2 linked regions of the Cricetulus griseus genome follow. The protein of the gene in region 1 interacts with the protein of each later gene in a biochemical or structural test. Links are inferred from orthologs where the notes say so. Each region holds a gene or a part of one and is shown in the gene's direction. Other genes may lie near its edges.

Region 1 (6,026 bases):
GGAGTTTTTTTCTTTCTTTCTTTTTTTTGGTTTTTTTTTTTTTTTTTTGGTTTTTTTGTTTGTTTGTTTTTGTTTTTTTTGTTTGTTTGTTTTGTTTTTCGAGACAGGGTCTCTCTGTGGCTTTGGAGCCTATCCTGGCACTTGCTCTTGTAGACCTGGCTGGTCTCTAACTCACAGAGATCCACCTGCCTCTGCCTCCCGAGTGCTGAGATTAAAGGCGTGCACCACTGCCACCACCACCCAGCCAGACTCCATTTCCAAGGATGGCTGGAGCTGATGGGGGACCTCAATGGTAGTGTTTGCCTAGCATTTGCAAAATTATGGGGGTGGGGAGAAATCAATGTACCAGGTGGTGGTGGGGGATCAAAGATGACCCACCAATCCCTCTCATTGCGCATATCTTTTGCAGAGTTGCTTTGCTATTCCCTCATCAAGAGATGGAGCATGTTTTCCTGGTAAATCCAGGCTGATCCTGTGTCTTAAATTGACCAACAATGGATTTGACTTTCAGATCTAGGCTTGAAGGGGCCTCAAAGCTTCTGTTTTCACTGACTTGCTTGACAGACACCAATTCAAGCTAGGATAGGCCACTGACTGGTGAGCAATCACTGTATGAAGAAAAAGGTTTTGTTGGGGAGAATCGAGAGGCCCAGATATTAGCAAGACCTTAGACTCACGGGTAAAGTTGTCCTCCAATTCTAGCTATTTCAATAACAACTCTAGTTATGTCAATGACTTAGGTCTTTGGGATGTGACTAGAATATCTGAAGAATTTCATTTGGTTTAAACTGAACTTTAAATAGTGAGCAACTGTTATATAGGCCAGCACGGATGTTTATTCCCACTCTAATTCATCCAACACAATCCCATTAAAAGAACAGGGCATGGGCCGGCTGGAAATTGCCTTAGCACCCATCTTTCATGGGACTAACAAGTATGTAGGCAATGTCTGGAGACAGTTGGATCTATTAGAAGGAAAGGGGGACGAGGAAAAGGATGGCTACCATTAGATGACTAACCCCCAGCATCTCTAAAATGACAATGCTAACTGTATCATCTGTACACAATGTGGAAATGAGGGGCTGGGGGACTGAGATTGATTGATTCCCAGAACCAGGACTGGTGCCAGCGGTAGTCTGAGAGGCTGAGGCAGGTTTTAAAAGTTCAAAGACAGCCTGGGTACCTTCAATACTTTAAAATAAAAACAAAACAAAAAAAAGTAACAAGAGGGCTGGAGATGTAGCTCAATTGTTGATCACTTGCTTAGCCTACCAGTAATGAGAGGTTAGATCCTCAGTATCCAGGGGAAAAAGGAGATTTCCAGTTTCACATCTAGCTCAGAGGAGTCCCAACAGAAAGTTAACTTTCAGAAGCTTTCCTTGTCTGACGAAAAGGGAGATTTTAATAGTTCCTTTGTTTATTCTGAGGATGTGGCCAAAAAGCAGACATTAAACCCTCTGTTAGTGTTTGTAACTACAGCCATCATTTAAATCCCTATTTCCCTATTTACTTCCCTCTTCTCTGAAGTTGAAGTTTTACATCACCCAGAACAAGTTGCAAATAACGAAATTCTCAGTTACACTGATTTTTTTTTTTTCAATTATGAGCCAGGGTGTCAGGTAGCCCAAGCTTGCCTCAAACTCGCTATCTTGTTCTTAATTATCCTGTACTCTAGATACTTCTGCGTCCGCCTCCCAAAGCAGGAGAGCAATGTTTAGGTGACACTGGCGATCACCCCTAGGGCTTCATGCATGCTAGGCAAGTACACAGCCTAGGCGTTTTTGTTTGCAACAGACCGTATCTCTTTGAATACAGGAATCCTATATATTTGGGGAATGGCAATGTTCCAATTATCCCTCGATTTTCCTCAGAGGCCTGAGTAGGAATTCCAGGAGTGGATAATGACCTAAACTCAAAAGACTTTATTGAATTCAGCCCCAGACTAGTATTTTACCCCTCGCTGAATCTACCGTGCACAACAGGGAACGGCGGAGGCGCTTACCCCGACCAACAGTCCCACAGGTAACTCCGGCCGGCCGGATCCCTCCCTCCAGGCCCATCCTACTAGTAGCTCTTTGGGCGTGGCCCAGCTAGCGTGGCCAATTGGGCGTGGCGTGCGTAGGGCGAAGGCGTGGCTGAGAAGAGGAACTTCCGATTGGGCCCAACCCAACAACTTCCGGTAGCACTCGCCAATTTCCGGCCACAGACTCCGCCTCCGGAGGCTCACCTCGAGTATTTCCGACATCTCTCGGGCTTTTCCGTCTCGCTCTCGTTTGGCTCTCTCCACTTCGGGTATTTCCGTGTCACGCTCGGAGGAGTTCGGCAACCACTCGGCCTCCCCCATCCCCCGGTAACGGTCGCTGGTGAGTTTAAATGAGCCGGGGCTGGCCGGGCCGGAGTCGCTACGGGGGGGGCCTGAGGCACTGCAGAAAGTGGGCCTGAGCCTCAAGGATGACGGTGCTGCAGGAACCTGTCCAGGTAATACTAGCGCCTGCTCCGAGGCCTGGCGCCATGCCTGGGTCGCAAGCGGCGAGCAGCCACTCCGCGGCCTGCTGCGGCCTAGGCCCCGCTTCTCCCGCCTCCCTTTCGGCGAGCCCCCTACCTGTCTTTCGTCACTCCCGAGGCCTTGCCCGCGGCCTCAGCCGAGGTTAGCCCCGGCCCCGCATTACTTCTCGCCTGTTGTGCCAGCCGGGTTCGGCGGGAATCACTCGTTTCCGTCGGTCCTGGCGTCCGGCCATCCCCCTCTTGTTGGTCTGGGTTCCTGCCCGCGGTGGGAGACGAGGGGCCGCCCGAGACGGCGCTCCGAGTGCTCGGCGTCCCGGGGGTCGACACAGAAGCGCTTTTGAGCCGAGCTGGTGGGATTTCACACCCGTGGGGCAAGTTTACTGGTGTTTCCTTGCTTTTGTTTTACGTGAGGTGGTCGAAGGAAGACGTAAAATTACCCGTATTTTCGGTACTGGTTTTCGTTTCGGGAGCAGACTTTCTTGTCCACGTTACAGTTCTCCGTGGATTTCCCACCGGACAATGACGACCTGAGAAGGGAACTCCCAGGCCCACTGCTGCGGGGCAAACACCCCAGCAGGGGAGTGGACGAAAGGGCAGGTCTGGATTTTTTCCATCACCTAGGATGGGTATCAGGAGGCATTTTACCGTGCTGATTTAGAAGGTGTTTAGGAAATTAGAGATAATTGCTTTCCCATCCATTTCACCATTCGTCCATTCCTTAACCACACCAAGGTATGCATTGACGCACACGGTGCTGTTGTCAGAAGAAAGCCTATTGGGTTTTGAAGTATGTGATGCAGTGCCAAGTCATTTTCCCCCCTGCCACATCTGAAGAAACTGAACCTATTGTCCTTTGGTGGTGGACCAGGTTTGGGAGATGTTTCATTCCACCGTATGATCTTTGACATGACCACAGTTGGCCTCCATTAAATTACAATCATTAAGCCATAAGCTATTTTGAAGTTATAAATCAAACCGATTTTAGAAATTGCTGCGAATTGCCTTAGGTAAGACTGACAACAAATATTTAATATTTCAGTACGTCAGTACAGCATTTCCTTAATGTCTCATCGCAGCCTAAAATACGGTTTCCCTAGTTGAACTTCATCTCCAGATGTTTACATGGTGACAGCTATTAGTATTTGAATTAATATAATTCTGGATTATATCTTCGGAACTGTACATAAAACATATGTTTGTATGTTTTTTGTTTTATTTTTTTTGTTTTATTTTGTTTTTCAAGACAGGGTTTCTCTGTGGCTTTGGAGGCTATCCTGGAACTAGCTCTTGTAGACCAGGCTGGTCTCGAACTCACAGAGATCTGTCTGCCTCTGCCTCCCGAGTTCTGGGATCAAAGGCGTGGGCCACCACTGCCCAGCCCATGTCTCTGTATGTTGTATCAATTCTTCCAAAGCTGCATTTCTTTCCAGATTTCTCTTCCTAGTGTAGAGTCCCTTAAAAGGCCCTTTTGAGGCCTAACATGAAATTAAACGGATAAGGAGGTTATTCAGATAATTAGTTTTTATTTCATATTGTAGTTTTGTCTTACTTTTCTGCTTTTCTGGAGCCAGAAGGCTTCTAAAGTGATATGATAGTTTACAGCATGTAAACTACTACTTAAAAATTTTTAACTTCTAGAAAACCATGAGAGTGTAGAATACATTGTTTAAGCAAGATAGAATCCAGCAGGTTTCCTGTTTGTTTTTAAAGTACTGTGGAATTTACCTCCCTCTCCTCCATAATAACTTTTTCCATTAGATTTTAGGGTAATTGTAAGAAGTTTTGGGGTGTGAGGGGATGAGAATAATTTATAGTTGGCCGGAGGATCAGGAGTTCAGGGTCATCCTTGGCTACAGAGCAAGTTCAAGGCCAACATGGGCTATCTGAAACCCTGTCTCAAAAAAAACAAAAAACAAAAACAAAATAACAACAAAAGGAGCAGTTAGCAGTGGGAGAAATTAGCTAACTTTGAGCAGGAATGCTGTTGAAAATGAGAAAGAGCTAGTATGAAAGAAAAAAGTAAAGAGATGCTAAGATAATTGTTTTAAGAATTGTTCATTCCATATATCAGGATGAAAATAGTGTTGAGAATATTTTCTTTACTTTGTTCCTGGTGATCTAGGCACAGGAAAAAGTTGACAGAAATAATGCACAACTATTTGTTCCTACCCCCCTCCTTAAAATTTTTACCCAGTGAAATGTGCCATATAGACTTAAATATAAGCCCCTCCCCAAGTTAGCACTCATAGAAAAAACATTGCTTTATATTTGAGTCTTCTGTTTTTTGAGACAGGGTTTCTCTGTGGGACAGTTCCAAGCTGTCCTGGAACTTTCTCTGTAGACCAAGCTGGCCTCGAACTCACTTGAGATCCACCTGCCTCTGCCTCCCAAGTGCTGGAATTACAGGCACCTGGCTTTATATTTGAGTCTTTACAAAATAATCTTTGATATTTCAAAGCACAGATTGATTTTTGTGGCAGTCTCACTGTGTAGCCCTGGCTGGGATTAAAGGCATTCACAGTACTAATTTGGGTGCCTGTAAAAGTGGCATTTTTTTGTTGGTATGGTGTCTTGTTTAACTTTCATTTACTGTGTGTACATGTGTGTGTCAGTCAGTCTTGGTGACAAGTATCTTTATCCTCTGAGCCATTTCACTGAAAGCTGTTGTTGTTTTAAGAGGCAGGTGTTTTATATAGCTGCATCAATTGATAAAGCTGTATCAATTATTGCTGTAAGTGAAGCTTCACAGATGTATTGGATGAAATTGTAGACAAGCCTTTTGAAAATGATTTTACTGTGCAATAGAGGAACTAGATGGAAGAACCTTGCATGCTAATCTGCATCTGAAACTCCAACTAGAGGCAGGAAGATAAGGAGTTCAAGGTCTGCCTGAGCTACATAAATCCATGTCTCAAAAACCAAAACAAAATAAAGGAGTTTGGGTATTATCCATCCATAATTCATGTCATCCTTTTAGAGGTTTTTTGTTGTTGTTGTTGCTTTTTTTGTTTGTTTTGTTTTTTCGAGGCAGGGTTTCTCTGTGGCTTTGGAGGCTGTCCTGGAACTAGCTCTTGTAGACCAGGCTGGTCTCGAACTCACAGAGATCCTCCTGCCTCTGCCTCCCGAGTGCTGGGATTAAAGGCGTGCGCCACCAACGCCCAGCTTAGAGTTTTATTTAATAGTGAAAGAGTACTTTTGACTTGGGATAAGATGTCCCCAAGTGTCACCTAATAATGTTTCAAAGAGTACCATACTATGGCTGCTACGTGAGAAGCATCATGGTCAAGAGAAGCCTGTCGTCTTAGAAGCAAAGGTATCTAGAGTAGCAGTGGAACAGGAAAAGGGTAGATAAAGGTTTTAGAGGTAGAAATTCAGGAAATAACTTGGAAAGTAGAACCATTGAAACATGGGGAGGGGATTGTCTTCCTGGAGTTGGTATCAAAAATGACTGCCTGAATTTTATTTCAGTGGTGCTGTTTAAAAAATGAAAAATCCAGCTGCTTGTGATGACACATGCCTTT
Region 2 (6,033 bases), about 59 Mb from region 1:
GAATTTAATAAGGGAAAAGCTTTACATACAGAGCGACCTAGCCAGCGGAAGGGGCAGCAGTCAGTACAGCAAGCTGACGATGAAAGAGAAAGAACGAAGGCCCACAAGCGATGCTCACTCTTAACCCTTCCCTACATCACCCTGACCACCCATACGAGGGCGTGGTCAGACACACCTGTAGCCAGCCCCTAAGCAGGCCTGACTACAACATCCCCTAAATAAAGGCATTCTTGAGGCCTGGCATTGGTGGCACGCGCCTTTAATCCCAGCACTCGGGAGGAAGAGGCAGGCGGATCTCTGTGAGTTCGGGCCAGCCTGGTCTCCAGAGCGAGTGCCAGGATAGGCTCCAAAGCAGCACGGAGAAACCCTGTCTCGAAAAATCGAAAAAGAAAAGTAATTTAAACTTTTGCGGGGTGTTGGTGGCGCACGCCTATAATCCCAGACTCGGGAGGCAGAGGCTGGAGGATCTCTGTGAGTTCGGGGCCAGCCTGGTCTACAAGAGCTAGTTCCAGGATAGGCTCCAAAGCTGCACAGAGAAACCCTGTCTCGAAAAACCAAAACAACAACAACAAAAAACCAAAACAAAGGCATTCTTCTGGGGACAGAGGCGTCCGCCTCCCTATGACCAGGACTCTTTCCTTGAGGACTCAGCCTCTGTCCGGCTGGACCCGAGGGTTGCGCCTGCGCCCCGGGCGGTAGTCTTTTCCCCCCCATCCCGGTCCGCGGTCTTTCCGCGGGTCGTCACCACGAGGACTCACTGCAGGAAATGCCCGCTCCCCCGAGGCTCCCAGTTCGTCTGCTGAGTCTCGGAACCCTAACTTACCCAGTCCGGCCGCAGGCCACGCCAAAGCAGCCGCCGCGAACGAAGTAATCCGGTAATGTTTACTTCCGGGTTCCCTGTCTTCGTCCGGCAGCCCAGCGATAACTTCCGGAAGGACGACACATGCGCACTCTCAAGTGCTTGGAGATTTTTTTTTTTTAAACAAACAAGACCGCGGTCTGTGCAAGTAGTTCGTTGTGCACCCTGCAGGGAGAATGGTGGCAGTGCAGCTTTGTGCCCCCCGCAGGGTTGAACCCTTGTTCCTTCTAGAATTTTAGCAAAAATGTTTACTGAAAAAAACCAAGAAGGTAGGCATAATGGCCCACGCCTTTAATCCCAGCAGAGATAGGCAGATCTTTGAATTCCTGGCCAGTGACATAATAAGATCCTATCTCAAACAAACAAATTTAAATAGTCCCCCATAAGACAGAAAACATTAAACAAATTACTGGAAAATAGATTTTAGTGGAATTTCTTTCTTTCTTTTTAAATCATTGTTTTATTTTAGATGTATGAGTTTTCACATCATTGGCGTCAGATCCCTAAACCACAGGTCCTCTGCAGGAACAGCAAGCTCTCTGAGCTATTCCCTGGAAAAATTTCTTTGTGCTGTCTTGTGGTTATTTACGATTCCCCACATGAATTCCTCTTCAAATATAGATGAATATAGCTAACATCCCTGCCTCAGTCGAAGAGCCCAAAGTTATAGATTGTGGAGATTTAATTAGCCAGGCCAAAGCCAGAATGCTTTTCCAGAGGAATTACAGAACTTTCTGGACAAGAAGGAGTAATTGTCCCCCAGGTCTGAGTTCTCAAGAAGATTCTAGAGATACCAAGAAGGTAGAGGTCATAGCTGGTGAGTGTTTTTTGCAAAGCTGGATTAGAAGAAACTTGTATTAGCTAAGGACTCAGCATTCTACACGAGGGTAGTTTACCAACCAAAAGGGTATATTACTCCCCAGTAACAGGTGGGAATCACAGGGCTCAGCTAGGGACATCATCACTAAGAAAACAAATGGCCCTTTAAAGACACTGTGGTTATGTAATTTACTTGCAGTGGGACCTGGGCATAACCATGTTTCCTGTTGGTGAGAAAGGGAGAAAAACCTCTCAAGGAATTAGAGAATATCCATGTGGAAGCTGTGAGAATTTATGCAGATTTCTTTTAGAAACCAAAACTTTTGTGTGCTAGTGATTTAATATGAAGAAGCAGCATTTAGAAGGAGATGCAAGGAGAAAGCAGATTAAGGGAATAACAGGATTAGGGCAGAGGAAGGACAGTAAAGGTGTAAGTCCTTAGCTAATAAAAGGGAGTCCTGCATTTCAGAGTGTTACAAACCTCTCTCTGAAACATTGAGAAAACTTTTCAAAATAAAGGTACATTCCTCAAATTTTATCAGCACCATTTTTTTTTTTTTTTTTTTTTTTTTTTTTTTTGTTGTTGTTGTTGTTGTTCAAGACAGGGTTTCCCTGTGTAGCTCTGGCTGTCATGGAACTTGTTCTGTAGACCAGGCTGACCTCAAACTCACAGAGATCCACCCACCTCTGCCTCCTCAGTTCTGGGATTAAAGGTGTGAGCTAACACTGACTTTGGTCTACAGAGCTAAACTAGTTCCAGGACAGCTCGGGCTGTTGCACAGAGAAACCCATCACCCAGACTGGGTCACATGAAACCCTGTTATAAAAAAAAAAAAAAAAAAAAAAAAAAAAGTCTTACAAGTTTAAAGTAGCGAAACGACGTTTTTGTTATTGGACCAATGCTTCCTCACAGGTCCACACTGTGGATAACAAAAAGTCCATCAGGAGTTTTGAGCAATGTATGACCCTAGTTTTTTAATTTCTGGGAGAGAGAGAGAGAGACGCTGGAGGGGGGCGGTAACTAAAAACTTCGGTTGGTCTCATTGGTTGTCAGACTCTAGGCCCCGCCTCCTCTCGCATGGTCCAATTGAAGCGCGAGTTGTGTTTTAAACCGCGGAGTGCGGTGTCGTTGGTGGCGCAGTCTTGGGTGAGTTTAGTTGCTGTGTGAGGGTGTTGTGCGTGAGCTCCGGGTGGCTAGGGGCAGACTGGAGACCGAAGCAGGGTCGGGATCTGAACCTCACTCGGCCCCGAGTCCCTGGGCGCTCTTGACGTGCTTGACCCGCGGCGACGCTGTTTTAATTTAAATTTTTTTCTCCCCTGCCTCCCTCTTCAAGGTCTCAAGCAGCCCCGGCTGGTCTCGAACTTGTTATGTTCTTGAGACCAACCCTGAATATCCGAACCTCGTGCCTTCTCCTCCCTAGCGCTGCGGTTACAGCCGGGAGACAGTTTTGATGGGTGCCAACTTCACTTGCCTTCTCTTTAGGAGTTTAGTATTTCTGACTCTGAAGGTTTTAAGGTTCTTAAATTGAAGGTTTAAGATTTAGTTTAATTCTTATTTTTTTGTGCACATGTGTCCTGGGTAGACTTTGGTCTCCGTTGCCGCTTAGCTCTTCATGCCTTCCCCAATAGGTCTCTCCTCTAGAGTAATCCAGGATGGCTACGCTGATCTTTATTGATAAGGATAATGAAGAACCAGGCAGCCGTTTGGCATCCAAGGATGGGTTGAAGCTGGCGTCTGGTGGTAAGTATTGGCTGGCTTCAAATATACAGGTGTTGGGAGTGGATGATGGTTGTGGTCTAGAGACCATAGCATTTAGTGTACTTTGTGGTTGATTAGAGTCAGGTTTCATATATTTTCATGCTTATTATCTTTTTAACTTTAGAAAAGGTGTCATGTAGTTCAGACTGGCCTCTACTTCCCTTTATAACCTAGAGAGATCTTGAACTTCTGAGCCTTCTGCCCCCACCTGCCCAGTGCAGTGATTATAGGCATGGTCACCATGCCTGGTTTATGCAATGCTGTGGATTGAACTCGGGGCTTCTCAAATGCTAGGCAAGCACTCTACATACTAATCAAGTCCCCAGGCTCTATGCTTAATCTATTTGTTGAAGCAGAAACCCCCACCCCCATGTAGCTTTAACTGGATTGAAACTTGCTATGTAGATCAGGCTGGCCTTGAACTCAGAGATCCACTTGTCCTCTGCCTCCTCAAGTGCTAGAATTAAAGACACATGCCTGGCTTCATGATTATTGTCTTTTTTTTTCCCCCCCAAGACAGGGTTTCTCAGTAACAATCCTGGCTGTCCTGGTACTTGATTTGTAGACCAGGCTGGGCTTGAACTCACAGATCCACCTGCCTCTGTCTCCTGAGTTCTGGGATTAAAGGTGTGTGCCACCATGCCTGGTTGTCAGATTATTGTTTCTGTCAAGGTTTCTCTATGTAGCTTTGGAGCCTGTCCTGGAACTCAGTCTGTAGACCAGGCTGGCCCTGAACTCACAGAGAGATCTGCCTGCCTCCCGAGTGATGGGATCAAAGGCGTGTGCCACCACTGCCCGGCTTCATCTTACTGTCTTACTGAGGTTATTTAACAGTGTGCTAAAATGCCAAAAACAAAGCATGGGTTTGTGAGTGAGAACTGGGTCAAGTTGAGGTGTTTATATGGCCTAATCTTTAAGAACACCATATTTACTTACATATTTGTATATGTGTGGGGGCATTCACACATGTTCCATGGTGTGCCTGTGGGAGTCAGTTCTCCTTACACTTTGTGGGGGCTGGGGATTGAACTCAGGCAGTCAGGTTTGGCAGACTTTATTTATTCTCAGGATTATACTTTTTCTCAATAGTCAAAGCCTCAGATGGGAAATTGCAGATCTCAGCGCCACAAGTTGGCAAAGTGTTCAATGCTCCAGTCTTGCCTAAAGCCAGCAGAAAAGCTTTGGGAACTGTCAACAGGGTTACAGAAAAGCCAGTGAAGATCAATAGACCCCTCAAACAGAAGCAACCAACTTTGACTGTGAAAAAGGTGAGTTCGGGATAGGAAGATGGGGGGTGTGTTCATGCTTTAGCACCTAAAAAAAAAAAATTATTATTTCGTATGTGCATTAATGTGCATGTGTGTGGGCACCCGAGGACACCAGAAGAGGGCATTGGGTGCTTTGGAACTGGAAGTACAGGCAGTTAGTTGTGAGCTGCCTTACATGGGTGCTAGGAACTGAATCCAGCTCCTTTGGAAAAGCAGCAGGTGCTCTTAACCATTGAGCCATCGCAAGCCCCGCTGTAGTACTTCTGATGCTTAAAAATGGACTTCTAGGTCTTCTACCTGGCTTTCTTCCAAGTAGGAGATAAATAGCGGTCCATAAACAAACGAGCAGAGGAGAATCACACTGTGTACTGCTCCTGGTTGCTCAGCACCCTTGAGATTGTAACTAATGCCTCAGCTCTCCTTAACAAGTTTCAGGAAGCAGCTGGTTAGAAGCCACCAGCAGGTGTGTGAAGTACTCAGCTGGGTTTGATAGACACCTGCAATCCTAACACTTGGGAAGCTGAAGCTGGAGGATGGGCTGGTTGGAGGCCAGCCTGAGCTACAGCCCCACCTCCAAGTCTGGCACACACAAATGTATGAGATAAGATCCAGAGCACCCAGGTTTCTGTTTTGGCCTACTGCTATTGTCAGCCTGGTATTCTTCAGATGTTTTATGTTTTGCTGCTGCTTAAGCCCATATATTTAAGGGAACATAAACTTCTTAATATTAGCCAGGCAAATGATTAAGGTAACAGTGGCAGAAAAATCATACTTTTATAAGGTAAAAATGACTCCCAGGATTGGCTACTATTCTGGGGTGCCTCAAGCCTATCTTCTCTACTGTTAGGTTTGAACAGTCGAGTTGATTAACTTAACTTAAAAAAAATACTTAGTTTGTATGTGTGGATGTTTGCCTGTGTGGTATATGAGTGTACCATGTGCCTGAGGAGGAGATAAAGGAACATTGATTCCTTTGAGCTGGAGTTACAGATAGCTTGAGCCACCCTGTGGGTGCTGGGAACTGAACCTGGATCCTCTGTAGGAGGATTAAATGCTCTTAACCACTGAGTCACCCATCTCTCCAGCTCCTTAGCTTTTGTATCTGTGTAGCGCAGGGCCTGCTCATGTGATGGCATGCATTTCAAGGTCGGTGGACAACTTCCAGGAGTCACTTCTCTTCTTGTCTTTTGACTGAATCCTGAAAACCAAGGATCAGAACACAGAATTGACAAATTTTAAAGTGAAATCATCATTTGAAGAGGCCCTCCAACCTCACTTCTATTCTCACAGGTGCTTATTCTCTTGGGTTTTTCTAGACCATTGAGAAG

What was found. The genes of interacting proteins can lie anywhere in the genome.
Region 2: the proteins of Cdc27 (region 1) and Pttg1 form a complex in vitro, tested with the Homo sapiens proteins (3 studies listed by BioGRID). The link is inferred for Cricetulus griseus from reciprocal best matches to the Homo sapiens genes CDC27 and PTTG1.

Annotation. Positions count from the first base shown.
Region 1 is NC_048600.1:117,572,324-117,578,349, reverse strand, and holds the start of Cdc27 (cell division cycle protein 27 homolog), read left to right. Parts: upstream 1-2,339; 5' UTR 2,340-2,451; coding exon 2,452-2,478; intron 2,479-2,602; exon of another isoform or gene 2,603-3,289; intron 3,290-6,026. UniProt on the Homo sapiens protein: Component of the anaphase promoting complex/cyclosome (APC/C), a cell cycle-regulated E3 ubiquitin ligase that controls progression through mitosis and the G1 phase of the cell cycle.
Region 2 is NC_048600.1:58,115,083-58,121,115, reverse strand, and holds the start of Pttg1 (securin), read left to right. Parts: upstream 1-2,757; 5' UTR 2,758-2,825; intron 2,826-2,837; exon of another isoform or gene 2,838-3,307; 5' UTR 3,308-3,331; coding exon 3,332-3,419; intron 3,420-4,526; coding exon 4,527-4,705; intron 4,706-6,021; coding exon 6,022-6,033. UniProt on the Homo sapiens protein: Regulatory protein, which plays a central role in chromosome stability, in the p53/TP53 pathway, and DNA repair. Probably acts by blocking the action of key proteins.